3 linked regions of the Astyanax mexicanus genome follow. The protein of the gene in region 3 purifies or fractionates together with the protein of the main gene of each other region. This does not show direct contact. Links are inferred from orthologs where the notes say so. Each region holds a gene or a part of one and is shown on either strand. Other genes may lie near its edges. The genes, in order: sntb2, sntb1 and dmd.

The links.
Region 1: the proteins of dmd (region 3) and sntb2 purify together in Homo sapiens (co-immunoprecipitation; 4 studies listed by BioGRID and IntAct, counting the BioPlex papers as one, with this or other methods). This does not show direct contact. The link is inferred for Astyanax mexicanus from reciprocal best matches to the Homo sapiens genes DMD and SNTB2.
Region 2: the proteins of dmd (region 3) and sntb1 purify together in Homo sapiens (co-immunoprecipitation; 4 studies listed by BioGRID and IntAct, counting the BioPlex papers as one, with this or other methods). This does not show direct contact. The link is inferred for Astyanax mexicanus from reciprocal best matches to the Homo sapiens genes DMD and SNTB1.

What each region holds. Positions count from the first base shown.
Region 1 is NC_064417.1:11,124,494-11,132,307, reverse strand, and holds the start of sntb2 (beta-2-syntrophin), read right to left. Parts: upstream 3,009-7,814; 5' UTR 2,837-3,008; coding exon 2,170-2,836; intron 1-2,169. UniProt on the Homo sapiens protein: Adapter protein that binds to and probably organizes the subcellular localization of a variety of membrane proteins. May link various receptors to the actin cytoskeleton and the dystrophin glycoprotein complex.
Region 2 is NC_064413.1:9,207,987-9,215,894, reverse strand, and holds the start of sntb1 (beta-1-syntrophin), read right to left. Parts: upstream 3,041-7,908; 5' UTR 2,950-3,040; coding exon 2,755-2,949; intron 1-2,754. UniProt on the Homo sapiens protein: Adapter protein that binds to and probably organizes the subcellular localization of a variety of membrane proteins. May link various receptors to the actin cytoskeleton and the dystrophin glycoprotein complex.
Region 3 is NC_064428.1:3,149,943-3,158,012, reverse strand, and holds the start of dmd (dystrophin), read right to left. Parts: upstream 3,012-8,070; 5' UTR 2,893-3,011; coding exon 2,808-2,892; intron 1-2,807. Other genes in the region: uncharacterized protein knl1, read right to left, coding at 5,614-5,707, 6,109-6,234, 7,453-7,574, 7,794-7,903. UniProt on the Homo sapiens protein: Anchors the extracellular matrix to the cytoskeleton via F-actin. Ligand for dystroglycan.

The sequences.
Region 1 (7,814 bases), on a different chromosome or scaffold from region 3:
TTATAAAGCACACAAACAGCTGGAGTAGAAAACTGCCTCCAACTAACACTAAACTGAAAGAGGCCATGCAGGTCATGTGACATCAGTTTCACTTCCAGTTTGGGTTTTGGGATGCACAGTTCTGTTGTGTCAGCCACTCTGTGTTTGGCCCTGCTGGAGGTCACTCGGTTCTAGCTTCAGAAGAAGGCAGTGAAAGTAGAACGGAGCATAAATAGAGCCCCTTGTTTTATTGCCCATTTTTTAATTGGACAAAACAAAAGATCTCATCTTTGGTGAAGCATCCACAGTGGACACCATCTGCAGCTCAGCGTTCAGCTAAGTTAAATTAGTGTAATTCTTTAGTTTGTGGTCTGATCAGCAGTTTTAGGCCTGACTGACCTGTGGACAAGAACAGATCTGAGAGCGTGTGATGGTGATATCAGCCTTGCTCTCCTGCTACGCTGATCAAACTGGAAACACAATCGGACCTTTATTTTGAATGGGCTGTTTTGTAACACTACTCCCGACTCCAGCAGCAGAGGGACTTTACTGTCCTGCAGACCTGACTAATTTTACTGCTCTTTTTTCTGTTTTATTTTACTGGTATACAGACAGCACCTATACTATGTGGTTGACTGTATTAGGACACCTGCTCTTTCTTCTGATTTAAAGGTATTAAAAAAAGCTGATCTTGACTCTGTTTGAGTAATTGTCACTACTGGCCAGGGAAGACTTTCTAATAGAATTTGGAGAATTGCTGTGAGGATTTCATTGTTTTCATTGAGTGTTAGCAAGGTCATGATGATGAAAGATCACCACCCCACCTCACCTCTTTAACTCATCCTAAAAGGAATGGATGCTGTAATATAAGGGGTGTCCACAGAAACGTGGAGGTATGTGTATTATTGTGTATTTCTATCGTACAGTATCAGAACTGGACTGTGACCAGTTAGTCCCAGAACAGCTGCATAAAGGCCAGAGTACCCTGACTGAACAAACATTATTACATAATGGATGTTCATGTTTGTCTAAAAATATCTAGTTGGGTTCATAGCCATTAATTCATGGGTGTTCCTGTTTCATTACGTTTAGGTTGTTGGTCATAACTTACAACAGATATTTCCACATACCAGCATATACACCTAAACGCAACTCACACTTTCCTGGTTGCTAGGGACCAGTTCATTTATTTCACTGGTTAGGTCAGATATCAATAATGGCATTGTTTCAGACAGTGGAAAGAGATAAACTCTTGACTGATTTGTGAGACAAAGCAGAGATGAAAAAGTAGGACTGGGCAATATGACAATATTTTATTTCATTGAGAAAACGTGTTAATGTGATACAGTATACTTTTATAAACATATTGTGGATATCATCAGTGCTTAATGAACACTGACCAACTGTGCACTTGTGTATAGAGAGTGTTATTAGTGCAGTTTAACAGGATATAATGAAGAATGTTAAATATAAATCACTGTACTGTATGGAGGAGTATTTCAGAATCATCTTCACTGATATATTATCTGCATTAAAAGTATTGTGCTAAATACTATGATATTATGATATACTGTGATATAACATGATATTTTGACCAATATATTTTAACAATATTTACACTAGCATAAAAAGCTTGACTAAAGCAATTAATAACAAGGCTCAAATATATGTAATACTGCTAACCTGTGGCTAAATCCCTATTAATCAGATGCGTATTATTGTTTCCTTTTTGCCTGCATTTTCATCCTATAGCTGACAGGCCTTGTGTGTGACACCTGGGATCTAAAAGTTCTAGATGTACAACTTGAGATTGAAAAAGTTCTAGAATATAGATACAGCCTGGTTACTGCCACCATTCTGGTGTTAGAGCGCAAGCGTGCATGGTCAAAGTGCCCTAGCTCTAGAATATAACTTTGCTCGATCACATTCCAGAACACAGTAAACCCAGGCTGGCTGAGTGTTTAGTTTTAGAACATGAGTGTGCATGCGCAAGAGTTCTAGTTCAAAACCAAGAATGTGCTAGCTATGCGTTCTAGTTTTAGAACAATAGTGTGCTAAGTCAATACTGCAGAACCAGTACAGCAGAACCCGCGTGCCCGGCTGTGTGTGTTTATATTTGAGGCGGGAGCGGTGTTATCGCAGCGCAGCCCGCAGGCCGTGTAAATCCCCGGCTTTGCGTTGAGCACTCACCCTCCAGCGTCACCTCCTTCCCCGCCTTTTTCAGCGCCTGCACCGCCTGGTCGTGCGTGGCTTCGCGGAGGTCGCTGCCGTTAACGGACAGGATCGCGTCTCCCACGCGCAGCGCGCGGCTCTGGTCCGCGGCCAGACCGGGGAAGATTTTGGAGATGAGGATGGGCATGCGGTTCTCCCGGCCACCCTTAATGCTGATACCCAGTCCGCCGGACTCTTGCTTCACCACCCGGACCTTCCTCACGGTCTCCGCTGGGCTCGTGTCGAAGTTTGCGCTGCTGTTGCCGCCTCCTGCCCCCTCCCCATGTCTGGAGCTGAAACTGGAGCCTGGGCTTCCGTAGCCTGACCCGGGACTGCCGTAGTCCGAGCTAGTGCCGTTGTCGCGGCTCGGTCTGCGGGGGCTGCTGTAGCCGTACACGCTGCCACCACTGGGCTTTAAGTGCCCGTGGTTCGGCTGAAGCTCCGGGTTCTGGTTCCGGAGTCGGTTCTGTTCGCTGATGGGATCACCCCCGTTAGACAGTCCGTTTCTGAGCTCCACACCGCTCGCTTCCCCCTCCGCAGTCAGGGTCAGAGTGTCCCGGTTCAGGTCGGCCGTGACCCGGACCCAGCGCTCGCGCAGCAGCAGGTCCAGCTGACCGTTCTTATCCGCACGAGTCCAGATCGCCATCACCCGCGCGCGCTCAGTCCAAACTCCTCATACCGAACCCCTCATACCGTCCGAACTTTCAGTTTCCGCTCCCGAGTACAACTCTACACACACACACACACACATGTACACGCCCACACACACTCTCTCTCTCACACACACACACACAAACTCACACACACACAGTTTACAAGTTTGCGTGTTTTCCCTACCCGTTTTCAGACTAGCCCCGCCCCTCGTGCTATTGGCTAAGAGTTTGTAAATCAGAAGTATCTGGAGAGAATGGCCTCTCTCCTCCTCAACAAGTGCGCACTTATCTTCTACAACACTTCATCCAGCTTCTTAAACGTGACTTGTGTTCTAGAAATGCACGCCTGTTGTACATTGTGTTCTACATCACGTAGTAAACATGCACTTCAGTTCCAGGGCTTTTGCTTTGAGTTCAGCTTTATGTTTTTGTGTGAGGGCCCCTTGTTTTAAATGATAAAAATAGCATGCTCTTCTGTTGTAGAGCGCTCAGTCAGAGCACACTGTAATAATTACATTTTTGTTGAAACACGTGCTCATGCTAAGGTCCTGCACTGGGGTTCTGCACAGTCAGCAAGAAAATGTTTCTTAGAAGTGGAATCATTTGCATAAACCACCTGTTAAGGGTGATCATCCAATATAAATTATGTTTAACAGGTTAGCCATAGGTTTACATATTTAAAAAAGGGCCGTTCTGGTTTGTGTAGAGATGTTTTTTCCTCTGTGAGGATGGAGCTTAATTAATAAAAAGTGTAATTTGAGGTTTGTGGGGGTTTTTTGTGGGTGGTGGTGGTGGGGGGGGGTGGTTTTTGCATTAATTGTGCTATAAGAGCATTATAACAATCAGTTTTCTGAGTCATCCAACTGGGGTTTGGCTGGATTATAAGGCTGGAACAGCCAATAGGGTGTCAGTTCTCAGGATTGTAGTCCACAAGGCAATCATGCCTGAGTAAGCTGCTGCAGGGAAGCTGCTGCAGGGAGGGGGGCGGGGGGGGGGGATATTCCAACAGAGTGCTACTCTTATAACAGCCCTGTTATTATAACAGTTATAAACACAGCCTGCTCCTCCTCCTCCAACTCTCCCTCCATATTTCACCCCTCCTGTCCTTAAAGTCCAGTCAGGAGTCCAGCCAGGCCAAGCCACCCCTACCCTCCTACAGTTACTATGGCAACCTAAATACAGCCTTATTAAACATCAATAACTGATGTTTGTACATATGGCGAATTATACACATGGTGAATTAAAATGTTGCACATTCTAAACCATAAGATCAGTAATAAGTTAACTGTTTCAATTCACACTGTAAGAAATAGTAAACTACAGTTGGACATTCTTGCAGCAGCAAGGAGGGACGGACCTGTGGTATCTCTACTTCACATACCGTGGGTATAGCAGCAGCCAGGCACTGAAGAAACTGCCCAATGCTGTGGTGAGTGGTGCATAGGTTCTACAGCATGTGTTTAAACGCCGTTCTCATGCTCCCATCTCACACCACCCCAGGACAGAGCTGGACCTTGCGATGATCTTGTTCAGTCTCTTCCTGTCAGCAGTGGAAATGTGAGACCCTTTGGGATTTCTTTGATTTTTGCCTAAACTAAAACCACACAAAATATATATGTTTCCATGGTTTTATTGAACACAACATGTTAACATTCACAGTGCAGGGTGGAAAAAGTATATAAAACTCTAGGCTAATGACTTTTCTAAGAGCTAATTGGAACCAGGATGTGATGAGATTGGATGTGTTGGTTAAAGCTGTCCTACCCTATAAAAACACACACCAGTTTTGAGTTTGTTGTTCCTAAGAAGCACTGCTTTTGAATCATGCCTCGCACAAAAGATCTCTCAGAGGACCTACTGTACATTCAGGAACTGTTGACTTGTATGAAGCTGGAAAGGGTTACAAAAGTATCTCTAAAAGCCTTGATGTTCATGTGTTCACAGTAAGACAGGCGGTCTACAAATGGAGAAAGTTCAGCACTGTTGCTATGCTCCCTAGGTGTGGTCGTCCTGTAAAGATGACCGCAAGAGTACAGTGCAGAATGATCAATGAGGTGAGGAGGAATCCTAGAGTGTCAGCTAAAAACTTACAGAAATTACTGTCACATGCTAACATTTTTGTTGACAAATCTACAAAAAGGAAAAACATTAAACAAGAATGGAGTTCATCAGAGAACACCACAGAGGAAGTCACTACTGTCCAAAAAAACATTGCTGCAAGTTTGAAGTTTGCAAAAGAGCACCTGGATGTTCCACAGCAGTACTGGCAAAATATACTGTGGCCAGATGGAACCAAAATTAAGTTGTTTGGAAGTAACACACAACGTTTGTGTGTGGAAAAAAGGCACAGCACACCCTCATCAAAACCTCATCCTAACTGTGAAATATGGTGGAGGGGGCATCATGGTTTGGGGCTGCTTTGCTGCCTCAGGGTCTGGAAGGATTGCTGTCAACAACGGAAAAATGAATTACAAAGTTTACCAAGACATTTTGCAGGAAAACTTAAGACCATCTGTCCACCAACTGAAGCTCAACAGAAGATGGATAACAGGACAAACGACCTAAAACATAGAAATAAATCAAGAACCGAATGTCTTCAACAGAAGAAAAAACGCCTTCTGGAGAGTCCTGATCTCAACCCAATTGAGATTCTTCCTGACTGTTCTGCAGGTCTGATCTGCAACTACAGGAATCATTTGGTTAAGGTTTTTGCTGCCAAAGGAGGGTCAACCAGTTATTAAATCCAAAGGTTCACATACTTTCCCTCCCTCACTGTGAATATTAACATGTTGTGTTCAATAAAACCATGCAAACATATATTTTTGTGTGGTATTAGTTCAAGCAGACTGGGTTTGTCTATTCTTGTGACTTAGATGAAGATCAGAACACATTTAATGACCCATTTGTGCAGAAATCCAAGTAATCCCAAAGGGTTGACATACTTTTCCTCCAACTGTATCCTGTAGTATTTGCATAACCTATTTACAATGGGTTACATTTTGTTTATTATTTAAATTAATTCTAATAAAACTTAAATTCCAAACAAAGTTGGGAAACTGTGTAAAATGTAAATAAAAAAGAATGCAATTCCAATCTCATAACACCCATATTTTATTTATAATACAATAAAATAAATATCAGATGTAAAGTAAGCTTTACCATTTCATAAAAAAGTTAGCTCCTTTAGAATAGAATTTGATGGCAGCAACACCTCTTAAAAGGTTGGGACAGAGCTATGTCTACTGTTGTGTAGCATCACCTCTTCTTTGAACAGCTGCGTGTAGAGTTTTTGATAGAGAATTTTCAATTTTGCAACCCCATACATTGGCTGAAAGAAGATGGCATTGTTTCTGGATCATGTTAACATTTGTGTTCACAGACAGTTAACTGTGTTCACAGACAGTGATTTCCTGAGTTCCTGAGACCATGCGGTGGTTTCTTGTCGATTTGTTCACAGAAATGTCTCCAGATTCTAGCAAACACTAGCAAAACGCAAAACTAGAAAAGAGTCAATCAGGATGGATAAGGAGAGAGTATTTCTCTCCAGCGCACCTGTTACGTTTATTTAAACCAAAGCAAGCAAACTTAATTCAATGCATCCTAACAGAGCCGACTGATATCATAATACATAATTTTTTTAGGGATGAAAAAGTGTGATTAATGTCAGAATACTGTTGCGGTTAATCAGATTTTTAAACTTCTATTGTGATTAATTAAACTACTGTTTATTTCTGTTGTCAGATAAAATTCACCATCTAAAACACAGTGCAGACTCTTAACCATACTTAACCATCGTACAGGAACATTTTGTGGCTCATGTCATCTAAAGATTTTTAAAGTCAAATTATCTGTTGTCTCTGAGGTCTGTAGTACCTCCATAGAGACTACACCTTTTTTAGCACCACCCTTCAGCAAGTTATATATATATATATATATATACTGTTTATGAATGAGACCCACAACAGCCCAGCCAATAAAAAAAAACTTGTTTACATAAATCAGTATTACAGGTACAGTGTGTTTAAGTGTAAGAGATATACAGAGGTTGAAGTAGAAATGAATGAGTATTTACTTATAACTCACACAGGCTGTGAGGCTGATAGTGGAGCTGAGGGTGGAGAATGTGGGATATATGTTCTTTATATCTCTACACTGGACAGAGATGCTGAAAACAGAATTTCTTCAAATGAATGTGTTTTCAATTTTTATTTATTGCAGATCTACAGCATTTAAAACACTGTGAGTGAAGGGATTTGCAGTCGGGGGGTCTGGGCTTGTGGGAAGGGGGTGTAGGGAGGTGTTGATGGTGATGCAGGATGTTCAGAAGCTCTCTCTGCCAATTGAACTGGCACCATATCTCTCCCTGATACATTCACTCAGCCTATACAGTACAGCACAATAATACAGTACTGTTTACTCAGAATATGAAATATATTGACAGTATTTCCATTTATTCTATTAGGAGGGACATTCTAGTGCTAAAACTGCACTTTAAGAGATTTAAATGTGTTTCAGAGCAGCTATTAGGTCCTCTTGCTCGGGGGGTGGGGTGGAGACTTCGCTCTAATTCTTATCCCATATGGAAACAAAATATACGGACATGTACTCATACATTTTAAACACATTTCAAACCCACTGCATGTATTGCAAAATGTATTGCCTATAAAGAAAACATATTTTAAAATATGATACTTACATGGGAAATGTCAAAAAATAGATATCTGCAGCATAAATTAAAGAGACAAAAACACAGCAAAGATGCAGCTGGAGTATTTGATATGTTTTTTTAAACTAAGAGGTAAAACAATTATAAATATATATATATTATATTATATATATATATATATATATATATATATATATATATATATACACACACCATATTATTTTTTTTCCATATGGGATTTAACTAGTTACATTCAATCAAAAACAAGGCAACAGCAACGCTATAATTGAATCCTCCTCCGTTGG
Region 2 (7,908 bases), on a different chromosome or scaffold from region 3:
TGCACAGCATATGTAAGCAGTATTTTCCATGTCAAAAAAATATTATATTGATGTAAAAAGTGTGTTAACTTAAATTAGTGTTTCGCCAGTACACATAGTTTAGGTGTTGGCAACACAGAGCAGTCCACTAAGTGCGTTCAGAAATTTTGGACCCAAATTTTAAACATCTGTAGCTGCCAAATATATTAAGGTACAAAAATCTAATTTGGCGGAATCATAAAATTCATCACACAGTTTTAAATCTTGGATGTTGTTTTTTATAAAATCGTCTGATAGATTTGCAGAACACGTGCAGCACTCTTTCTGTTCACTGCTCTTGTGTACAGCATGTATATGGAGGAGTTTCAAATAAATCAGCATTCAAGGCACAAGTCAGCGAGCTCTCCAGTATTTTCCATTTTACATGGCGGAAATATTGGACCAACCAGCTTCGTGGCAAAAGTTTGGGTACCTCATGTCAGCAAACACTCTAGAACAGACAGAGGTTTCAAATTATAAAGTACAAATATTTGTTACCTTACTTAAAAAGAAATTTGGGTTATCTATACTTTACTGGAGTAATTATTATTTTTCATGTTTTAAAATAGACATGATACTCCTATTTCATTTCAGCTTGTTTTCATCCCGCTTTCTCACTGTAAAAAAAAAAAAAACCTATCCAGATCAATCTCTCCATCCAGGGGCTCTGAGTGGTGCAGCAGACAAAGGAGCTGCCACTATGATCGGGATTTGCTGGTTCGTATCCCGTTTATGTAGCTTGCCATCAGCTGCTGGAGCCCTGAGAGAGCACAATTGGCCTTGCTCTCTAGGGGGCTCTCCCCCCACATAACTCCAAAAGGTCAGCACAAGGCGTCTGAGAGCTGTAATGTATAGCAACCATGTCGCTGCACTTATCTCCGAGCTCGCTGTGATGCTACTCGACAATGCTACATCAGCAGGAGTTTGAAAAGAGGCGGTAGCTGACCTCACATGTATCGGAGGGGGTATGTGCTAGTCTTCACCCTCCTGGTGTGTTGGAGCATCTCTAGTAATAGGGGGAATCCTACTGAGTGGGTTGAGTAATTGGCCTTGTAAATTGGGGAGAAAATGGGATAAAAGTCCCATCTGGATAAAGTGAATTTGAATATGGTTGAATGAAAAAAGCATAAAAACATACCATTCCAACAACTTATTGGTTTATTCGCAATCTATCACGTCACACTCCAGCAAGAACACAGCAGACACATGTAGTCTAGTGTAAAGATGATCCGTGCAGAGACTCAACAGAACACAAGCCAAACATCTAACCAGGCTTCTTTAATATATTTGCATTGTATCAAATACATTCATTTTCAATGAGCATATATGCAACTAAAACAGGGAGTCTACTGCAAATCTACTACCCAAATCTATCAACTTTAATATTTTAATATAACATTATAGTCATTATGGCCTTTAGAAAATGTTAGGGGTGGCATGAGATCTCGCAAGATTAAAACGGACGAGATTTCTCGTCAGGCTTAAAACTGTCTCGCGGGGCAAAAAAACAGTTAAGTGTGGACTTTTTAAGAGGGATCTGGCAACTCAGTAGCGATAGCAATAGAGTATGATGGCTGAGCAGCGAGAGCAGCTCTTAGCAGAAGAGGAAAATTTGGGCGTTTGTATAGAAGATGCTGCTGCTACTTTTAAGTTGTATATCTGGCTGCATTTCGGCTCCAGTGGAAACAATAAACAAGACACAAACCATATATAAATACTGTAAGTAAATCCTACACGTGACTGTTTCATAGGCAGCTGTACTAATCCCTTAGCTCTGTACTGTATATCTGTTTGCACTTCAAGCATAGTCTTAATATGGCTGGTTGTGGTTATGCATAGTTAAATTACAAGAGATTTAGGAGAAAAAACACAAACCATAGGCTTAATATGACTGGTTGTGGTTTGCACTTATTGTTTGCACTATATAAGACCTAGAAAAGTTTTCTTTTTATTTTTTATTCTTATTTATATTTCTTATAGAATCAGTGTGTGAGAGTCTGTTAAGTTTGCGTTATATAATTTTGTCAAATAAACGTTTTCAAGCCATTTTTCATTTTTGACATTTTCTTTAAAATTTCATTTTTAAATCTCGTCTTGTTCTCGTGAACCCAATATCGTGTCCCGTCTCGTCTCGTGATATTAGTGTCTCCTCACACCCCTAGAAAATGTGCACTATAGGACCCTGTGGCTTTTTCCTTAATGGTATTTCTTCACCCTACATTACTTTTACTTTTATACTTTAAGTAGTTTTGAAAACAGTACTCTTACTTGGGTAAAAAGCTTAAGTTGATACTTTACTCCTACAGAAGTTATTAAAACTCTAGTATCTATACTTCTACCTACAGAGTAATGAACGGTAACATTAATAGTTTCCACACCTTTTCAGTACAGTTTGTGCATGAAAAAGCTTTGGAATAAACCATATCTTGGTCAAAAGTTTGGGCACCCCACTTCAGTCAGCATGGGGAGGCTCTGGACCAAAACATGTATTTTTTTTTTTTTTTACCTGCGCCCTTTAATCCACCAATCCACCCAGAGTTTACCTGTCTGAGTTTAATTAAATGTTCACGGAATAAAAAACTTTACTCCACTTTACTCGGCAGTACTAATACTCCTGCTCAGCCCTCCGTGCGTGCACATACTTACAATACTCAACAGAGTAGTTAACGTCAGGAATACGCGTTCCCGTTCATACACACACACACGCACACGCACGCACACGCACACCGACCTTACCGTGAACGCGCCGCGCGCCCCCGCATCCGCCTCGCCGTTTACATGCTCGTGCGCGTGCCCGTTCTCCTCACAGCTCAGGGTCAGCGCCTCGTCGCCCAAACTCGCGAACACGCGGTGCCACTGCTCGCGCACGAGCACCTCCACGAACCCGCTCCTGTGCGCGCGCTGCGCGGGACCCGCGGCCGCTACCGCCATCCCGCAGTCATCTCCGCGCGCGCGAATAATCCAGCCGCGCTCAGCTCGCGCTCACCCTCTCTCAAACTTTCCCCCGAGCTCTGACTCACCTCCAGCCTCCAGCGCGCGCTGACTCCCCTCCCGCCCTCACACCGGCCCCGCCTTCCTACACTCTGATTGGACAAAAGTTTTTCTCTCCACACCCAGAGCCACGCCTCTCGTCATTCTCCCACTCTTATTGGATACAAGCTAGATTGTAGGTAAATACCCTCATTCCGAACATTTGTTTATTCGGACCTATGCAATTATACGATTTTCAAATATATAAAAAATAAAAAAATAAAGAATATAAAAATAATAAGAAAAATGTCATAAACCCAATTGATATCTGTAATCTTTTACATTTTATTTAAATCCCACATTTGTTTTTGTTTGTTTGCAAAAAAAAAAACAATAATAAAAAATAATAATAATAAAAAAAATTGTAGTCTGCCTGAGCTTGACCTGATGAAGAGATTTTCCCACTATTTAAAAAAATGGCGTGTGACTTAGTCATACGTATTTTAATATTATTTTTTATTTTATTTGATATAAAGGTATGGGTGATAATCACACTTTGATTATAAAAAAGATGTTTTAATCATGCAGAACTTTCCATGGTGGATGCTATGGTTTTGCTATGTTGTTGCGAGGTCACTGTTTAGGTATTGCTTGATGGTGTCATCAAGCATTTGGACAATATAGCTGAAAAACACACACGAATGTGAACATAATGAACATATTACCATTCGTTCCTATGGGATACATTTGTACGAAAACCAGGAAGGTGAAGGTGATGACAGAACAGCTCCTTACTACCTGCAGTCACTACTAAAGGCTTACGCTACCTCCCGGCCGCTGCGCTCCTCCAATGAACGTCGTCTCACTTTACCAAACATTCACACAAAGCAATCCAGACTGTTCTCATACAGAATTCCCCAATGGAGAAACAAACTACCTTCCACTACCAGATCAGAAATATCCCTCACTTCCATTTATAGATTCATGTATATAGGCACCTAGACACTTTATGCTGTATACAACTTGCACTTTTGCTCTGTTCTACCAAAGATTTTATACCTTTTGTATATCTATCTATATTCTTCGTCTGCATTATTTGATTGTATTTATCTAATTATGTGATTTTAAGCTACTGGTCACCTACATTTTATCTATCTGGCTGCCATCTGAATGAGAAGGGTATGTGAACACTTCTGCAGAAGTCGTTTTACAGGTGTGCAGATAGAGAGCAGTGTTTGTCATGTTTCTGAACCCCCAAAACAATCTATAACTGCAGGCTACAGACCTTTTAGATGTATATTTTAGGCTTTGGCGACACCTGGAGGCTGACTGTGTGTCTACAACTGTAAAATAAAAAAACTTTAAAGTAAGTCAACCTTAGAAGTGGTGGCTGACTTCACGTGTATCAGAGGAAGCATGTGTAAATAATTAGAAAAAAAATATATAGCTTAAGAACTAGCCAAAAATAACCTTTAGAATTGACTTGTTTTCTTTATATCTACAGGTAAGCTTTAGAGAGCTACTGCAGGACTGCTCTAAACTGTCACTCTCTATATGGTGCAGAGCAGTAAGTAAATGTATTATTATTATTTTTTTTTCATTTCTTTTAATTTTACATTCATATTCATAATTTGTATACAGTTGTAATATTGTAATATGTCCACTGGTGGAGGTGCTCACTCATTTTACTCGACTGATCTCCAGAGTCAGAATAGATATTTTTGTACATATCAATTTTAGGTTGGCTGATTCAACTTGCATTAAACTTTATTTGTATTAAATATGTATTTCTTGTTTGTATTTTATTCGTTTAAATGAGAAGGGTATGTGAACACTTCTGCAGAGGTAGTTTATACAGGTGTGCAGATAGAGAGCAGTGTTTGGAATGTTTCTGAACCCACAAAACAATCTATAACTGAATGCTACAGACATTTTAGCTGCATTTGAGCATTTTTTTTATTTAGGGCAAGCAATTTGTCTGATGAATGCTATTTTTTACACCGATTAAATTGAGTTAAAGGGTGTGATTTCACGTTTCATGTGAAGACAACAAGCCATTTGACTAGTTGCATGTTCCCCCCTTGCAAACACCCCGCTCTCTCTCGCCATAATTCTATCTCCTATTAAGTGAGATCACATTGTATGGTCATTTATTATAATATGAACTGTTTCACATGACACCTCAAATGGAAGACATTGATTGCTTTAGATTACGTTTGTCTGTATGAGTTTGTAAATAGCATATATATCCCTGTAAAGCCCAAACCATTAAATAATTGACATACAATTTCAATTCTTTTAAACTGGAGCCTTTATAAAAATATCAAGCACTTTATCAAATGCAAAAAAGATGGATTATATCATGGAATAATATTATATTAATTTTTCATTATGTCTTGGTAATGCACACACTTGTATAGGGTGAGGTAGTACCTTGTGTGTGAGATGGCCAGTGTGCTCAGAGCAAGGTGATGTGAATTATCATATTATAAGTTTGAATGAGCTCTGATAGTAGGTGCCAGATGGATGGAACAACTACTATTTCTAAAGGTATGGAGGTATTTATTGTTCCTCAATCCGCAGTGTCTTGTATATATCAGCAAAATGCCAGGGAAGTCACGCCCTCGCTCTGTTTCCCTGTGTTCCTGCGTTTCCCAGTGTGTTTCCCCTGTAATTTTCCGTCACGTGTCTGTAATTTGTAGCTCCGCCCTTTCCCCCAGGTGTTCATTGTTTCATGTTAGTATAAATAGTCCCTTTTAGTCTATGTTTGCTGTTGGTCTTTGCACCTTCCCATGTTGTCTGTCTCGCCACGTTTTTGCTTATTCCTCGTTCCTTGGTTATTTGTATTTACACTCTCTTGTTTATTTCTAGTTTGTTGTTTGTGACGTTTATTTCCTGTCACGTTTACTTCCTGTCTGTTTCCTTGTTTATACCTGTATATATTTACGTATTTATCCCTTGTTTATATCCCTAGCTCTGTTTAGTTTATTATCTGTTCAGCTTAGCTCTTTGTTTGTTTTTCCTGTTTGTTTATGTTTATATATGTTCTCGTTTTCACCTTGTTTGTTTGTTTGTTATTTATTAAAGTCTGTCTTACCCGCATTTACGTCCGCCTCCCGTCTGCTCCCATCGTTACAAGGGAAGGCGATACCCCCTATACTCCAACAAATAACCAACAATCAACTATTCTTTTTTTACATGAACAACTTTACTTTATTTAGAAATATATTTATTAATTCATGAAGGCACTAAAATATATTAAATAAGTGGTTGCCAAAAGGAAAAGGTGATTGGAAGAGCTCAGTCCTGTTTATTTATCATGACTGATGCCCCCTGAATTATCAGTGCACTGCATGTACCTCATAGTATCGATTGAGTTTTTTAGGGAAACAATTGTAACACTGCTCATTGGAGGGCTCAAAAAAATCATGTATCAAATATGATACGTTTGGCGTTATAGGGATATACATATTTTATTTTCCAGAAAAAATGAATAAATTTGAATTGTCTGATGTATATAAAAAGCAAAAAACTGTGATCAGCACTCATTTATTTAGTCAATTCATGTTTGTGGTGGGTGGTTGGGGTCCTTTGCAAACAGCTTGTTGATTCATGGCCCATCTTGCAAGTGATGAGTTTTTGAGGTCTGTCCATTAATTTTGCTTTATAAACATGAGCCCAGGAGCCTGAAGCATCAATGATCTTCCCTCCAATGCTTAACTGTTGGGATGTGTTGTTTTTAGAAATGATGTGGGCTTTTTAGGGTTAATTGCTGTATTAGTTGTAATAATGCACACAAAAACACTTTTTTGCAATACTGATATTTTTATATTGAGTTTATATTGAGTTAAAAAAAAGTTTAATAAGTTACTACTACACCAAGATGTGTTTTCCATATTCTAAAATTAGCACGCCATTGTTTATGCTGAAAAAGTAAAAGTCTAGTATTTGTATTGATGTACAGCATTATTCTACTGATAAGATGAGGAACAAAAACGACTCTCATTCACTTACATACTGTTTGATAAACACTTTTATTATTAATTTTTAAATAAACAGAGAGGTCAAAAAGATTTTAGAGAAGTTCTGGAGTTCTGATGACCAGTGGTCGCTATCAAACTTCTCTCAGGGCAGTAGAATCAATTGCTTATATTAGCTATCAGGCTTTCCCCAGCTATCAAGACTGTGCCCAGGCTGGTCTCCTTAATACTTTATTTATAAAACCCCCTGTGAGCAAGCCAAAGGCGGCAGTGGCAAGGAAAATCTCCCTCAAAGCTGGAGGAAGAAACCTTGGGAGGAACCAGACTCACAGGGGGGACCCATCCTCCTCAGGTCGTAAACTGTTGATGAAAAAAAACACATTTAATCACATTAGTTTGCTGTCTACAGTCTGAACCCCTGTTCAGTCTTGGTCATGCTTGCGTAGCTTCAGAAAATTACGGGCCCAAATTAGTCTTCTTCTTCTTCTTTTTCTTCTTGTTCTTCTTCTTAGTCCTCTTTGTCTATTTCTTCTTCTTGATATTCTTCTTGTTCTTCTTGTTCTTCTTCTTAGTCCTCTTTTTCGTGTTCTTCTTTTTGTTCTTCTTATATTAGCTGTCAGGCTTTCTCCAGCTATCAAGACTGTGCCCAGACTGGTCTTCTTAATACTTTATTTATAAAACCCCCTGTGAGCAAGCCAAAGGCGACAGTGGCAAGGAAAAACTCCCTCAAATCTGGAGGAAGAAACCTTGGGAGGAACCAGACTCACAGGGGGGACCCATCCTCCTCAGGTCATAAACTATTCATGAAAAAAAAAATCACATTTAATCACATTAGTTTGCTGTCTACAGTCTCAACCCCTGTCTAGTCTTGGTCATGCTTGCGTAGCTTCAGAAAACGACGGGCCCGAATCAGTCTTCTTTTTCGTCTCATTCTTCTTCT
Region 3 (8,070 bases):
GGGCATCCACTCTGAACATACAATTTCTGTCTAAAGGACAACATAACGAATAGACGTCATGTGCTGTGAGTTTAAACACTACCTAATTGCCTATCCACTATATGAATTTTAAATCTCCAGTTTCATTCCCCAACACTAATTTTACCCCAAGGTTGCCAGTTTTAGGAACACAACACCGGCAAAGCAGACGACATGGAATCTAGCAAGCAAGCAAGCAGTCTGATTTAGCCCAAATCTTATCTGCTACACAGCCGTAAGCCTTGGCATTCATCCACTTAGGGAGCAAAGATGGAATAAAATGAGAGTAAATATTGGCAGTGAGTTGGACAGATGGAGAAGTCTTCCAGCTCAGAAAGAGTAAATATAGTTGCTGAGCTGCTACTTTTCTCCTGAACAGGTAGCTGAGCTACTTTAGCCAGGTCATTTATCACAATCTCTAGGTTAGCTTATTTGGGATGGTCACTTTAATTATTTAACAAAAAATGTGTTTTTGCATTTATATCACTCTGTGTGCAGCTGGGAGAATAAGGCATGGGGTAATTGAGGCATTACTGGTGAGGATAGCTAGGTTAGCTAAAGTGATGTGGACTATGCCGGCTAACGCAGTCATGCTACACAAGCTAACATGAACTGCAGTCAGTGGAGGAGCAGATGCCTTGTATCAGATTACTATCTGATTATCTGATCAGTGATGAGTACACCGATAATATAAACATTTCTTATGTCCAAAAATACTCCATTCTCAGCAGCTAGCGTTAGCTATTTATCTGTTTATCTCCAGTCCTCACTGACTACACTTACAGGGGTCTGTACAGTAGAAACTCGAAGGTGTGTATTTTTGGAGCAGTGGGCCCTTTCCGGTATAATGGACTTGGCTTAGGCTAAGAAAGCTAGCGGCGTATAAAGCTAGCTAGTTAACTGCACGCGTTCCAGTAGGTTTAGTGCCCTGAGCTTGGAAACCTGAGTCAGCTTTAGTGCTTTGGCAGAAAAGATGAGGAGACAACTATTGTTCTGTCTACACTGTGTTTATGTGCACCATGGTCCTTGGAGGAACGTTGTTTCGTTTCACTCTGTATATAGCTGAAATGACAATAAAAACCACTTTGACTTGACTTTGACATAACATTAACATTGATTTAATGTTGAAATGCCAGCTGGGGTTACACACAGTAAAACATGTTCACAGGAAGAATGGGAAAAAATACCTCCTAAATTATGACTGGACTCTTTTGTACATATGGATGTATATTTCTTGGTGAGAGATTGTGACTCAGTGTCACACTTGAAGACAATTCTTCCCAGTTGACAGACTTTAAAAGGGGGCACATCATTGCAGAGAAAGAAGGAAGAAGGATGTTTTTGTCAGCTATTCATCACTTTTATTCATGATAGTGTTGTAAAAGAGAAATCTCAGACTGGAACTATATTGTCTTTAGCAATAAATCCAGGTTCTGTTTTGGGATCCAACAACAGTCAGGTTTGAATATAGAGTTTTGGATAAGGATTTTAATCCTGACTTTCCTGTGGAGTGACACACTGCTGTGATGATCTGGGGATCCATTGCATACAACAGCTGGTCACCTCTAGTAGTGGTGCGGGGAACACGAACAGCTCAGCGACTTGTGAACAACTCATTGCAGGACTTCCAACTGGCAGGATAATTCTTGACCACACACAGAATTCCCAGGACTGTCCAGATATATCGCCAATTAGAAGTCCAACAGGGTAATATAGTCTCTATACTTTTCTACAGTTTCACCCAATAAACTTATCTTTCACTCTACATACATAGATAGATACATCTATACATAGATCATCATTACATTCACACATCAGAATAAATAACAGTACATACAATCAGCATTCAATAAATGGCAATTAAACATAGAAATATTTACTGTGATTATTTTGGTAAAGATTATATATATATATATATATATATATATATATATATATATATATATATATATATATATACACACACACAGTATAAGCGAATGTAAAAGTTGGGTTGTCTTTTTTAATAATCTAAACAGATTATTTAATGTGGTAACAAGCAATTGAACTGGAATGATTTAACTGTAATAAATACTTTGAATGAAGCATTACTTCATTCAGTATAAAGATAGATTTAAAAAGCACAGGCACGCCCTAGCATGAGCAATAAAAGAGGAACGTAGGATGGATACGGACAGCAACAGGGTAGAGTTGCAAACCTCCAGAGCCAAACTGTCGCATACAACTTGAGAAATGCTCTAAATTAACTGGACACTCAATGCCAAAGCATGCCACAGTGTGACTAACAATAGACCACCCACATTCTGCAGAGCTTCTTCACATGCACTCACACAGCAGCAGAAGAGCTGCGTTCTTCAGCAGTTATAGACTCTGAGAATCTTGGTAAAAGTGTTAAATTAGTAGTTTAAATGTCTTTATGCTGCTAGCTAACAACAATATACTAGCTCAAACAAGGCCACTAGTAATCTTACACCAGGCAGCTGCTGCTATTTTAAGTTCTTTAAGACCATATTTCATCGGGGGAGTAAATATAGCCCACTCTGTGTCTAAGCTGGATTCAGGGAGGGTCACAAGCCAAATGATTATTACACAAATATGTTCATTTCAAAGGTTTTACAAAAACAAAGACTTATAGAACCATAATGAGCAGACGCATCAACTAAAATAAAGTTAATAACAATGACTTACACGTCAACATGCATACATAAAAAAAGTTAATTCCACAGAATGTTTATTTTCTGAAATCCTATTTGCCTCGCTACACGCTACAGTGAGTTTGGTTCTCTTACCTGATCGACTCTTTATGATTTCTCCAAATTCATCTTCAGAAGCCTCCACTTCCCACTGGTCCTCCGAGTACCCGGCTTCAGCCATGGCAGAAAATGTGATGTGTATCAAAATCAAACAGTCAGTGCCTGATACCACAGAGATGTAGTAGGTGAAGTGTGGGCTGGATGCAGGGTAGTGAGTAAATGCTAGTGCTGTAAGGACTGAACTGTTATGATTCAGGGGAAGCAAACTGTCAGGAGGCCCAGAAGAGCAGGAACAGGTGGCAGAGTCTTCTCATCTCAAAATAGAGCTTACAGACGGTCTGCGTCACCGTGGACTGCATCACAAACATACGCCGGGTCTATTTAGGATTAATTAATCTAAGTATTGATTACAACTTTTAAATGTTTCCTTTGAATTTTAGGTAGAGTGTCAAATATTCCTGTAGTTAATTCGTAAATAGTGAATAAGAATGTTCCTATTGGGTTGGAGAGTCCTCTTGCTTGCTTGAAGGGCAGTTATACACACTGATCATAGTTTATATAATCCAATCAGAGGCTGTGGTGATTGGATCTGGACAAAAAAGGCAGTGCAATTAAAATTCATTTTTAAGCTCATCTAACCATATAGAAGCACTTTATAGTTCTATAATTACAGCATGTAGTCCTTTTTTTCTCTGCAAAATATGAATTGCCCTGTTCTTCAATAATCAGGACCTTACAGGAGCAAGAATCACATTAGAGTGAATTAGCTAAAAGGTCAAAAGAAGTTTCTGGACCTGGATGTACAATGGGCAGCAGTTCACATAAACTCATGCACATTACAGTGATGATTATTGTTTAAAACCTTTTATTCTCAGGGCAGAAACAAATATTCCTGAAGCTGATCTGACCTTAAGAACAGACCAAATAATTTTGATGTGACTGAAATCAGGATTCTGAGAAGGTAAACTATAATGCTGCATTATTTGTCCCCTCCCTGCTGTCCTGTGTCAAAGATTCAACTGTCTGGCTGATGGTTTGAGGTTATAAAGAAATCTTCATTACTCTGTTCAGGTTATGTAATGAACTAGTGCCCGCTGGCAACAAAGCAGCCCCATAGTATGATACTACTCCACAATGCTTAACAGTTGGCCTAGTGTCCCAATATTATTGTGGCTGAACAACTTGATTTTTGCATCACAATCTTTTCCTCTAGGAAGCTTGTTCTTCGTCTATTTGTTTTAATTTTTTTATTTAACTGTACACAGTGACACTGGTGTTGCAGAAGCATCTTGGGCTACTGTGGAATCTGTTCCTTTACCCAAATTAATAACTCATTTTAATAGAACACACTTTCCACTGATCCTGACATTATCACCTGCTTTCTGGGACCAGGTCTGCTTTTCACTGACAGACAGATTCTATTATCAGATCTGGTGAATTAGATTTCTTAAACTGAATTTCAGTAACTGGTTGATTTAGTAGCTAAAAGGACAATTACTTGTTCACATGGATGATCTGGATTTTGAATTGATGTTTATCTGTTAACAAATGTAATGATCATTTCAGGGCTGCATCGTGTTTATTTGTATTGTCTTTATATTATATTCAAATTAGTTGGATGATCTACATTTAAATTATTCGTACAAAGAAGAAACATTTCTTCATACTGTATGTAAACACCCATATGTACATGATCATAGTTAGTTATTTACAGGCTAACTAACCATTAAAACATTTTGCTATTTAAGCAACTAAATATTCACCCAGTCCATATACCTACACGGAAATGGATTTGTCTATTAAAGTATAAAATAATTTTCCTATTTCATACGGATAACTTTAGCTGAGCAAATTACAGAGATTTCTCTTATGGAACAATTGGTCTGAACTTGAAATTGCCTCACTCACTGTCCCAATGTACTTTTTGGTTATGTGTACAACTTCCATATTTTGTAGCCAGTTACAGACTTGGTTTTATAGCTTTAAACTTTCATTTCTCACAATAATATGCATTAACATGACCAATTCAAGAACCATGACTAAAACTGACAGCAAAAATACATTTATTAGACAGTTTCCACATACAGCAACTATCATTGAACAGTATATACATGACCAAGTTGTGTGTAAATATGACTGAAGTGGAAGAAAGTCACATCAATGTCAAAAATAACCAGCGTGTTTTAACATTTGCGTGTGTAAATGAATTTCTTGTGAGCACAAATGTGAAACTCGCGCGCAAAGGAATTGTGTTCACGCTGAACAGAATATCACTCTCAAGCTTCATTTTTCTCCTCTAGGGTTTTTCTTTCATCTCGAAATCAGTTCTCCTGTGGCTGCAGTTTGTGCGCGGGTGATTTTTTCGCCCCTTGACTTTTGAAAGGGGTGGTTTTGACAGTTTGGGGGCGGAGTCAGGATCACCTCCCTCAGCGAACACTATTGGCTGATATCTCCTGGGGTTTGTGAAGGACCGCCTACCTCCCAGAGCCTGAGGAGGGTGGAGAAAGAAGGACAGCAGGAGAGTTAGCTAGCTGCCTATGCTATCATCCAAACAACCCTTCGCTCACAAACTGCTGCCACAGGAGAACGGTGACTTCGAGACGAAGAAAGAGAGAGAAAAAAAAAACACCTGAGAGGATTAAAAATGAAGCTTGAGAGCAATATTTTATTCACTGCGCACACAATTCACTTTTTTTGCTTGCAAGTTTCACATTTGCGCTCACAAGAAGTTAAATTACACACGCAAGTGTTAAAAAATGCTGGTTAAAATTTTTATTCATCTGTTTTTTTTTGCACTTTTCATTGCTCATTAAACAAAAAATTGCAGGTCACACAAGTCCTTTTACAGAAGATCAGCATGAATCTTCTTTATGAGGTTAGTCAGATAATTCTTTGCCGGCGTAACAGAGCACAAGACATCTTCAATCTGGTCAACTCTGTGAAAAAAGAAAGAAAAAAAAACTGAGTACAATAAGCTTTTAAACAAGGACAAGAGAAATGATGCTTACTCAATGTGCATCATATTTCCTCAAGTGATGTATAGATAAAGCGTCAGGATATTATGCACTTCTCCATCTTGTTTCCAGAATGCTGTATGCTGTTTTAAGACGCATTTTATGATGTTTATCTATCCCCATATTTTGCTAAGCCCAGAAAAGTGATGCGTGACAATCTGAAGCCACTCTTTGAATCTATGAAAGTCTGGCAAGACCATCCCCCAAGATTCATTCCTGTCGACGGAATCCTTCTGAATGCATCTAGTTTTGACAATGAATGTATACTGAATAGTAACTGCAAAACACCCTTCATTTAAAACCAAACAAATAAAATACCATACCTTGTTTTCCCAATGAGATTTTGAAACTTCTGCATTTGAAGGGGATTCAAGGGATAGTCTGGAGTTACAGTCAGACTTAGCTCAAATTTGGCACAGGCCTTGATACTGGAGAAAACAATCTCAACTCTAGGAAAGAGAGAAAAAAAGATATTACACCTCACATTTCAGTATCAAATAATAATAACCTCATATTGTTAAAAGGGGTTTATTTTTATTCGGTTATACAAAAGGAATTCCAGTTGCGAGAGGATACTGAAGAAAGAGAAGCTAGCATAACTCCGTTGGTAGAGTGGTTCCACATAAGAGTTTCCACACCAGTAATATTTGTTGTGAGAATGTGATTAGACAGGTGCCATTTAACCGAATTTATTACTCTGAATATTAATAGAGCTATGAACAAAGGGCGTCTATAGTGTTGCTTCATGCCAAGTTCTTATATTACTGAACATGGTGAGTGCAGTGCTCCCCTCTCACAGCATGGAATATATTGTTTTCAGTGGGAAGGCAGCACACTCTTCAGCATTTAGTGTGAAAGAAGCTTCACACTACACAAATACGCATGCTGGTCTGAAACAGGACCTTTCTCTCTTTATTTTACTATCCCTGCCCCAGACCACTCTGAGTCACTGTGGTTTGTTGTGATGCATTTTGCTGTACTTGCGTTTTTTATTGTGTGAAACTAAATCCGACCAAGTAAACAAACTTGTTAATGGATTCTGACCAGAGAAACCAACCACAGGTGTGAAAGGAAAGTGTTTCTGCTTTACATTTAAAGACAAATTCTGTTGAGTTTTATGAGGCTCAATTAATCAATATTAACTGACATACAACTGGTCAGGTGTGACATCGAGACATGCCACTTTTTGGATTGAAGCAGATCATATTGAGAAAATAATTTTATTTTGACTTCATATTTACAAACTAAAAGTGTTGCTAAAAAAGCCTTGACTGAGTGTACAAAATGATGCTTTTATTATCTGTTTAATTTCTTTAAGATGGTAAAGGTCTCATTTTATCATTAATTCTGTGTTGGATTTGGGTGGAGGAATGGGTGGGGAAGAAACACAGGATTTTTTCTCTTACTCATGAATATCCATGATATGCAAATGTCACTTAGGGCACTGCGACAATCCTTTCACAGCACTGCAGTGGGCGGGGCCATAAAATCTCGTTTTCTTTTATTGGTTAATTCAGGTAGAAGCACAGTTTCACATGCAGCATGCAGACACAACTCAGTGACCTACTGTATTTCAAAGAAGCAAAAACTAACTGCTTTCTAGTGAAATCACCTTTAAGAAGTCTGACAGATGATAAGTGTATGTTTGAATACAGGATTTGACTTACAGTGTATCCGAACAATTGAAGTGTAGGATGTCAAATCTCAATCCTCCCCATTTCTTCAACTGGTGGATTTCTTCACCTAGAAGTCGAAGTCTGCTCACCACCAAGCTGACATTATGGAGTAACTATTGTGGAAAAATTACATATACATTCAGATTATTCCAAAAATTACCATTGACTTTGTTAAATGTGTTAAGCATCGTATTAATTATATATCATTTTCCTATTTTTGCATCATTAATGGTATTACATAAAGATAATTCCTTTAAAAAACTGATAATTCCGTTAAATTCTTAGAGGGGATAATGCCCACCCATACAGCTCAACCAAAACATTAGACATACCACTGGTATGTGTCGTGTGGTTGGGTACTTCTGAGTCCACGTAGGTTGGGCTTTAATGTGCTCTGCAAGCAACACATGAACCATGCGGGCATGAGGCTGCGATGCGTCACCTAATGGAAATAAAAATAAAAACATGCTAGAGTTTTTTTTTTAAATAATAGCTGTGTAATATTTTTGGGAATACTATATTGATTTTCAGTATAGCAGAAAAATAAAACCATGAACACTAGACAGCAGTGCTTTACTCTTGTTAAACCTCACTGTTCTGCAGATTTTA